Linked DNA regions of Stegostoma tigrinum. The protein of the gene in region 2 interacts with the protein of the main gene of each other region in a pairwise test. Links are inferred from orthologs where the notes say so. Each region holds a gene or a part of one and is shown on either strand. Other genes may lie near its edges.

Evidence for each region.
Region 1: the proteins of micall1a (region 2) and EH domain-containing protein 3 interact in binary tests that used the Homo sapiens proteins (3 or more experiments, as listed by UniProt). The link is inferred for Stegostoma tigrinum from reciprocal best matches to the Homo sapiens genes MICALL1 and EHD3.

What each region holds. Positions count from the first base shown.
Region 1 is NC_081357.1:12,806,881-12,810,793, reverse strand, and holds the start of EH domain-containing protein 3, read left to right. Parts: upstream 1-1,633; 5' UTR 1,634-1,708; coding exon 1,709-1,935; intron 1,936-3,913. UniProt on the Homo sapiens protein: ATP- and membrane-binding protein that controls membrane reorganization/tubulation upon ATP hydrolysis. In vitro causes tubulation of endocytic membranes. Binding to phosphatidic acid induces its membrane tubulation activity.
Region 2 is NC_081391.1:1,646,283-1,650,195, reverse strand, and holds the start of micall1a (MICAL-like protein 1), read right to left. Parts: upstream 2,328-3,913; 5' UTR 1,917-2,327; coding exon 1,777-1,916; intron 1-1,776. UniProt on the Homo sapiens protein: Lipid-binding protein with higher affinity for phosphatidic acid, a lipid enriched in recycling endosome membranes. On endosome membranes, acts as a downstream effector of Rab proteins recruiting cytosolic proteins to regulate membrane tubulation.

The DNA.
Region 1 (3,913 bases), on a different chromosome or scaffold from region 2:
AAGATTTGTAGCTCAGGTTGAGGTTCTGGATGAGAGTTTGCTCGCTGAGCTGGAAGGTTCGTTTTCAGACATTTCGTCACCATTCTAGGTAACATTATCAGTGAGCCTCCGACGAAGCGCTGGTGTTATGTCCCGCTTTCTATTTATCTAACCAGATAAATAGAAAGCGGGACATAACACCAGCGCTTTGTCGGAGGCTCACTGATGACGTTACCTAGAATGGTGACGAAACGTCTGAAAACGAACCTTCCAGCTCAGCGAGCAAACTCTCATCCAAAATAATATCCCTCCTATAAACAGGGAGACCAGAACTGGGTACAGTTCTCTAGAAGAGGCCTCATCAATGTCCTGTACAACCTCAACATAACATCCCAACACCTTTACTCAAAGGCCTGAGCCTTTAACCATCCTATCTACATGTGAAGTAAACGTCAAAAAATTATTGATATTATTAGAATTATTTACCTGAATCCTTAGGTCTCTGTTCTACAACACTAACCAAGGCCCTACTTTCTACTACAGAAATTGTGCATTTGTTTGTTTCACCAAAATGCAATATCTCACATTTATCAAAATTAAATTCCATCTGCCACTGTTCAGTCAATTAATTGAACTGCTCAAGATCCCTTTTCAATCTGCAATAACCTTAAATGATGCTTTCCATTTTGATCCTGAACATTGCCAGAGACCGAAAATGACTTCATCTGTACCTGGATAAACCAAATCCCACTGGAGATTTTGCAACATGACACTCAAAACCTACAGAGATAATGGGAACTACAGATGCTGCAGAATCCGAGATAACAAGGTGTGGAGCTGGATGAACACAACAGGCCACGCAGCATTTTAGGAGCACAAAAGCTGACGTTTCGGGCCTAGACTCTTCATCAGAAAAGCTTGCTGTGTTCATCCAGGTCCACACTCAAAACCTACAATTCACCGGCTCTGTTGTCTGGAACAGTTACAAGGGCTGCATTTTACCAGAAATCATTCAAGTCTCAACTTTGGCTCGCTTCATGTAAAGTGAGTCCTACTGAGTTCTCCAGCACTATTTTCCACAACTTGCCCTGTTAGCTGTGCCTCGCAACATCTTCCGTCCGGTCAGAGGTAGAGTTTTATTGCCACAACTGGATTTCCAGCAGTAGGGCCTTTTCCACGGCAAGCCATGCGCCTCTGCTGGCAAACTGTTCTCCTTCACCGTGCGCGGACCGAGTTGCCACCAGAAGAAGAAATGCCTCTTGAGATGACACCGCTGACGGTTTTGCGGCGACATTTGCAAACGCACTGCCTAGTTAAGAGCCAGGCCACCCTCACGGCTCACGCTCGGCGTCAATCCATCTTGGAAATCTAAGGGAACGCGAAGCCTTTCCCCGATTCTGGTTTGACATCTTTCCCCACTTGTCCGGGTGGTTGGGGGGGGGGGGTGGAGCGGCCGGAGAAGCCGTCGGCTTCAAGCGACTTGAGCCCGCGCGCGCAGAGAGAAGCCGTTGGTTTACGTCACCGGAACAGGTGACACGAGGGTGGGCGGGAGCACGGCTCCTTAAAGCGGAGCGGGGCTCGCGGAGTCTTTGAGAGGGATCTAGGGGGAAGGTTTGGGCTTGTACTCGGGCTGCTCGCTCGCTCGCTCGCTCGCTCGCTGAGGCAGTTAAGTGGTTTTTATTTTGGGGGTTGGGGAAAGTTTAAAACAAAACCGAGGCTTTCTGTCAGCATGTTCAGCTGGCTGGGGACGCACGACCGCGGCAAAAAGGACCCGGAGGTCTTTCAGACGGTGACGGACGGCCTGAAGAAGCTCTACAAAACCAAGCTGCTTCCCCTGGAGGAACATTACCGCTTCCACGAGTTCCACTCGCCCTCCCTGGACAATGCGGATTTCGACAACAAGCCCATGCTGCTGCTGGTCGGTCAGTACTCCACCGGCAAGACCACCTTCATCAGGTGAGCCGGACCCTCCATTCACTGTCCTCCTATTTCTTAATATGTCTCCACCCGCCGCCGCAGGGAGGTGGGCATCGCGCGGGGAAATGAGGCTACTGCCCTGTCGCGCTGTCACTCGCCCTCCCAGGGAGGAGGGCATTGAATGGGGAAATCCGGCTGCCCTGTGTCTCCCTCCCTCGCTGCCCCTCCACCAGGCAGGTGGGCATTGCGCAGGGAAATGAGGCTGCCCTGCCCCACTGTGCCCCCACGGAGGAGGGCAGAGGGCACTGCTCTTGGCTGTTCTCTTGCTCTGCACCTATTGCCTAAGGAAGAAGTTTTGAAGGCCGTGTACAAGGTTCTCAGGCTGCCTGGTTAGGCTCTTGATCTGCCATAAGGAAAATAGGTGGGAACGTATGGATCGATCGATTGATTTCAGCTGGCTGGCGGAAACTAGGCTATGTCATACCTGAGATCTGCTCCAGGCAGGAATGTTGTTGTTGTTGTTTAAAGAAATCGGATCCCACCTGCATTCACTATGCCCAAGATAGAGGTGTCGCTGAGGAGGGTGTAAGGGCTGTTTCTGTCAGTTATCAGTAATCAATATACACAGTTAATAGACATACAGCATAGACAGAGACACTTCTGTCCAACTCATCTGTGCTGACCAGACATCCCAATCTGACCTTGTTGCATTTAGTCCATGTCTGCATCAGCTTGGTTTAATTGTTAATTCTATCTGTCAACAAGTTGTAGCTTCAGGTCGTCCTTTTGGAGGGTTATTTGGCCTTCTGATTCTCCCCTGTCATGTTTATCTGCTTTGCTATTATGGATAATGTAGGAGGGGGCATGGCCTCATTATGAGTATAGTACTGACAGCAAGGTTTCTGGTACCATCACTGACCGCATTGTAATAAGCGGTATGTCAGGTTCCAAGTGATAGATTGTAATTTCTAGTCTGGAGCATACAAGGGTGTTTCTGTGGCTGTCCTCAAGATGGCATGTTGCCTCCTCGGTGCAAGAGTCATGGATCTCTAAGGGTGCAGAGTATTCTGAAAGGGGAGAGTGACCAGCAGGAAATTATTATGCATGTTGGTACCATTGACATAGGTAGGGAAAGGGATGAAGTGCAACAGAGAGAATGTAGGAAACTAGAGTGGAGGTTTTTAAAAAACTAGTCCTCTAGTAATATCAGGACTATTACTTGGGCCATGTGCTAGTTAGAGTAGAAATAGGAGGATACAGCTGATGAACGTGTGGCTGAGGAACTTGTGCAGAGGGCAAGGACTGCTTTTTTCTCTTTGATCATTTCTACCCCAAAGATTCCAAATGACAGGGATGGGTTCCCTGTGAGTTGTAAGTGACCAATATCTTGGTGGGGAGATTGCCCAGTGCTACTTGGGAGGCTTTCAACCTTAAAAGGGTGATGGGGTGAGAACCAAAGCAGTGACAAGAGGCTGAGGCTGGTACAGTTGAGAAGGGGAGCAAGGCAAAAATAAGACAGGACAAGGTAAGTCCTGGGGAAAAAATAAAACAAAATTATCTCAATACAAGAGTCCTGATATGTAAGGCAGATGGATTTAAGGCATTATTGGGACTGTGGGATTGAGGAATCATAGCTATTGCAGAAATGTGGCTCAGGGATGGACCGAACTTGCTGCTTTGTGTTCCAGGGTACAGATCCTCTGGGAAAGAGGAAGGGGGAGTGGTGTTTAGTTATAGCTGTACATAAGATAATCCTGGGAGCTCATGCAGTGAAATTATATGGGTGGAACTGAGAAATAAGAATAAAGGATGATCACATTGAAATTGTACTATAAGCCCCCAAATAGTGAGAAATTAAGAAGCAAATATGTAAAGAAATCTCCGCTATCTGTATTGAAAAAGCAAAGACTGATTAACATGGCTTGTGCATGGAATCGTGACTTGCTAACTTAGTTGAGTTATTTGAAGAGATGATAGACTGACAGCAGAGGACAGTAGACGTCGATATGGATGTCAG
Region 2 (3,913 bases):
TGCAAAAATTCCTTCGCCTCTGCCGCATCTGCTCCCAGGATGAGGCATTCCACTCCCGCACATCCCAGATGGCCACGTTCTTCAAGGACCGCAACTCCTTGGCCCCCCCACCCCCAAAGAGAAGTCAAGAACGCCCTAAACTGTGTCTCCCGCATTTCCTGCAACACATAACTCACCCCGCCCCCGCAATAACCGCTCTAAAAGAATCCCCCTCATCCTCACATACCACCCCACCAATCTCTGGATACAATGCATTATCCTCAGACACTTCTGCATTCTACAATCCAACCCCACCAACCCCATCCCCACCCTTGTCTGCATTCCGGAGAGACAACTCTCTTCGTGACTCCCTTGTTCGCTCCAAACTCCCCTTCAACCCTACCACACCTGGCACCTTCCCCTGCAACCGCAGGAAGTGCTACACTTGCCCCCACACCACCTCCATCATCTCCAACCCAGGCCCAAAGATGACTTTCCACATCAAGCAGATGTTCACCTGCACATCTGCCAATGTAGTATACTGTATCCACTGTACACGGTGTGGCTTCCACTATGTTGGGGAAACCAAGCGGAGGCTTGGGGACCACTTTGCAGAACACCTCCGCTTGGTTCACAATGAACAACTGCACCTCCCAGTCGCAAACCATTTTAACTCCCCCTCCCATTCCTTCGATGACATGTCCATCCTGGGCCTCCTGCAATGGCACAATGATGCCACCCGAAGGTTGCAGGAACAGCAACCTATATTCCGCTTGGGAACCCTGCAGCCTGATGGTATCAATGTGGACTTCACAAGCTTCAAGATCTCCCCCTCCCCCACTACATCCCAAAACCAGCCCAGCTCATTCCCGCTTCCCTAACCTGTTCTTCCTCTCACCCATCCCCTCCTCCCACCTCAAGCTGCACCTCCATTTCTCACCTACCAACCTCATCCCACCTCCTTGACCTTTCCATCCTCCCTGGACTGACCTACCCCCTCCATACCTATACTCTCCACCTATCTTCTCCTCTATCCATCATCGGTCCGCCTCTCCCTCTCTCCGTATTTATTTCGGAATCCTCTTCCCATCCCCCTCTCCGATGAAGGGTCTAGGCCCGAAACATCAGCTTTTGTGCTCCCGAGATGCTGCTTGGCCTGCTGTGTTCATCCAGCTCCACACTTTGTTATCCTGGATTCTCCAGCATCTGCAGTTCCCATTAGCTCTGATCTCCATTCATCCCACTGCGTCTGCTGTGATCCCCCAAAGAACATCCCGCTAGATCCACCTTCCCGCTAGATCCACCTTCCCACCCCCATCCCTGTAACACCACATTTACCTTGTGGCTAATCCAGCTAGCCGGGACTCTATGGGGCAATTTAGCATGGCCAATCCACGTAACTGAAAAATTTACACTTCAGCAGTCAGTTATTCTGATCCCTGCTGTTCTGTGCTACTCTAGAAGCATGCCCTGGGCCAAGGAGAACGTGGCACGGGGTGAGACTGGGTGCTCACTTTGCCCAGCTCTGTCCAGGCCGGAGCAGTTCCAACAGGGACCAACAAGCCAGCTTACAGCCAGAAGAGATGAAGGAACAGTTCAGGGTCCCGAAGCCCCGTCTTTCTCACTCCACTCTCCATGCTGGGTGAAACACTGTACCGAGAACTCCCCTAGGGGATACTCTCCCTGACCAGGTACCCCATGGTCACTCAGGGCTGGGGTAGAGAGCCCTGTACTTCTTCACCTCAGGGCTGGGGCGGGGGAAGAGACCCTCCCTGCACGGCCTCCCCAGACACTCACATCAGCTCAGGGCGGTGCCGGTGGATGATGGCACAAAAGGCAAGCCCGTCCCTGAAGCTCGAGCTCATGTTCGTCACCTCGACCCCCGGGTATCCCAACACCTGTAGACGGGCCCATTCCTGCAGCGCTCGGGTCGCCATGGGAGCGGCTCCAGACACCCGCCACTTCCGCTCCTCGACACTCCTGTTCCGCCTACTGCGCCCCCTACAGACGCCCAGGGTACTGCAGCGCGACACAGCGCGCCCCCTCCGACCACCAGGGGGACTGCATCGGTCCGAGATAATGGGATCTGCAGACGCTGGAGAATCCAAGGTAACAGTGTGGGGCCAAGCAGTATCTTAGAGGAGCACAAAAGCTGACGTTTCGGGCCCTGCATCGATCCCTAAGGTCTGGGCCTGAAACGTCAGCTTTCCTGCTCCTCTGATGCTGCTTGGCCTGCTGTATTCATCCAGCTCTACACTTTGTTATCTCAGATTCTCCAACTCTTATCATCTCTGTTAATGCATCCCGACACAGCGCGCCTCCTAAGGCCACAAGGGGAACTGGATGGCTACACAGCGCGCCCACTCTGGTCAACAGGGGAATCGCACACCGACACGGCGCGCCTACTGCGGCCACCGGAAGGAAACTGCACACCGACACAGAGCGCCCACTATGGCCACCAGTGGAACTGCATAAAATCCAGAAAAAGTGGATGCTGTAAATCAGGAAGAAAAACAAAAATTGGTGGAAAAGCTCGGCAGGTGTGAGGGAGAAAACAGAGTTAACGTTTCAGGTCCGGTTACCCTTCCTCAGAACTTAGAGCTTACTAGACCTGAAACACTAACTCTGTTTTCTCCTTCAGATGCTGCCAGACATGCTGAGCTTTTACAGCAATATGTTTTGTTTCCTGATTTACAGCATCTGCAGTTCTTTAGTTTCTTACCTGCACTAATCCAACTGCATTATTACTGCCCTATTAGTCTACTCTCAATCATCTGTAAAGTGATGGATGGTGTCAACAACAGTGCTATCAAGCTGCACCAGCTCAGCAAAATCCTGCTCAGTGATGCCCAGTTTGGGTTGCTCCAGGGTCACGCGGTCCGTAACCCCGTGACAGCCAAAAGAGCTGAATTCCAGAGGTGATGTGAGTGACAGCCCTTGACCTCAAGGTCACATTTGATTGTGTGGTATTAAGAAACCCTAGCAAAACTGAAATCAGTATGTATGGGGGCAAGCTCTCCACTGATTAGAGACATACCTGGCACATGTGAAGATCATTGAGGTTGTTAGGGGTCAGTCATCTCAGCTCCAGGACACCTCTGCAGGAGTTCCTCAGGGTAGTGTTCCATGCCCCAACCATCTTCAGCTGCTTCACCAATGATCTTCCCTCCATCAAAAAGGTCAGAAGTGGGGATGTTTACCAATGTTCAAAACCATTTGACTCAGGTACTGAAGCAGTCCATATTCAAATGCGACAAGATCCAGGCTTGGGTTGAAAAGTGGCAAATATGATTTATGCCAAACAAATGACAATGACCATCTCCAGTAAGAAACAATCCAACTTCAACCCTTGACGTTCAATGGCATTACCATCACTGAAACCACCACTAGTCACATCCTGGGGGTTACTAAACTGAACTCAAACTTAACTGGAGTAGCCATGTAAAGATTTGTAACCACAAGAATGGGCTACAGGCTAGGAATACTGTCATGAGTAACTCCCTTCCTGACTCTCCAGATCTCATTCACTATCTACAAGAGAGGGTGGAATAGTTCCCACTTGCCTGGAAGAAAGTAACTCCTACCACATTCAAAAAGCTCAATACTATCCAGGAAAAATTGTTTCTTGATTGGCAGTTCATCCACAAGCATCCACTCCTCATTAGCAGCAGTACATACCATCTGCAAGTTGCACTGCAGAAATTCACCAACAGTCCCCAGATAACATCTTTCAAACCCACAATCACAACTGCCTGAAAGGGCAGTAGATGCATAGGAATGCCACCACCTGAAAGATCCCCATCTGAGCCACACAACCCTCCACTGGCTCCCTCTGCCTTCAACTTCTGAGCCAGTTCTGTATCCAAATGGGTGGTCCTCCCTGTATTCCATGTGATAACCTTGCTAACCAATCCACCATGAGGAACCGATGTGG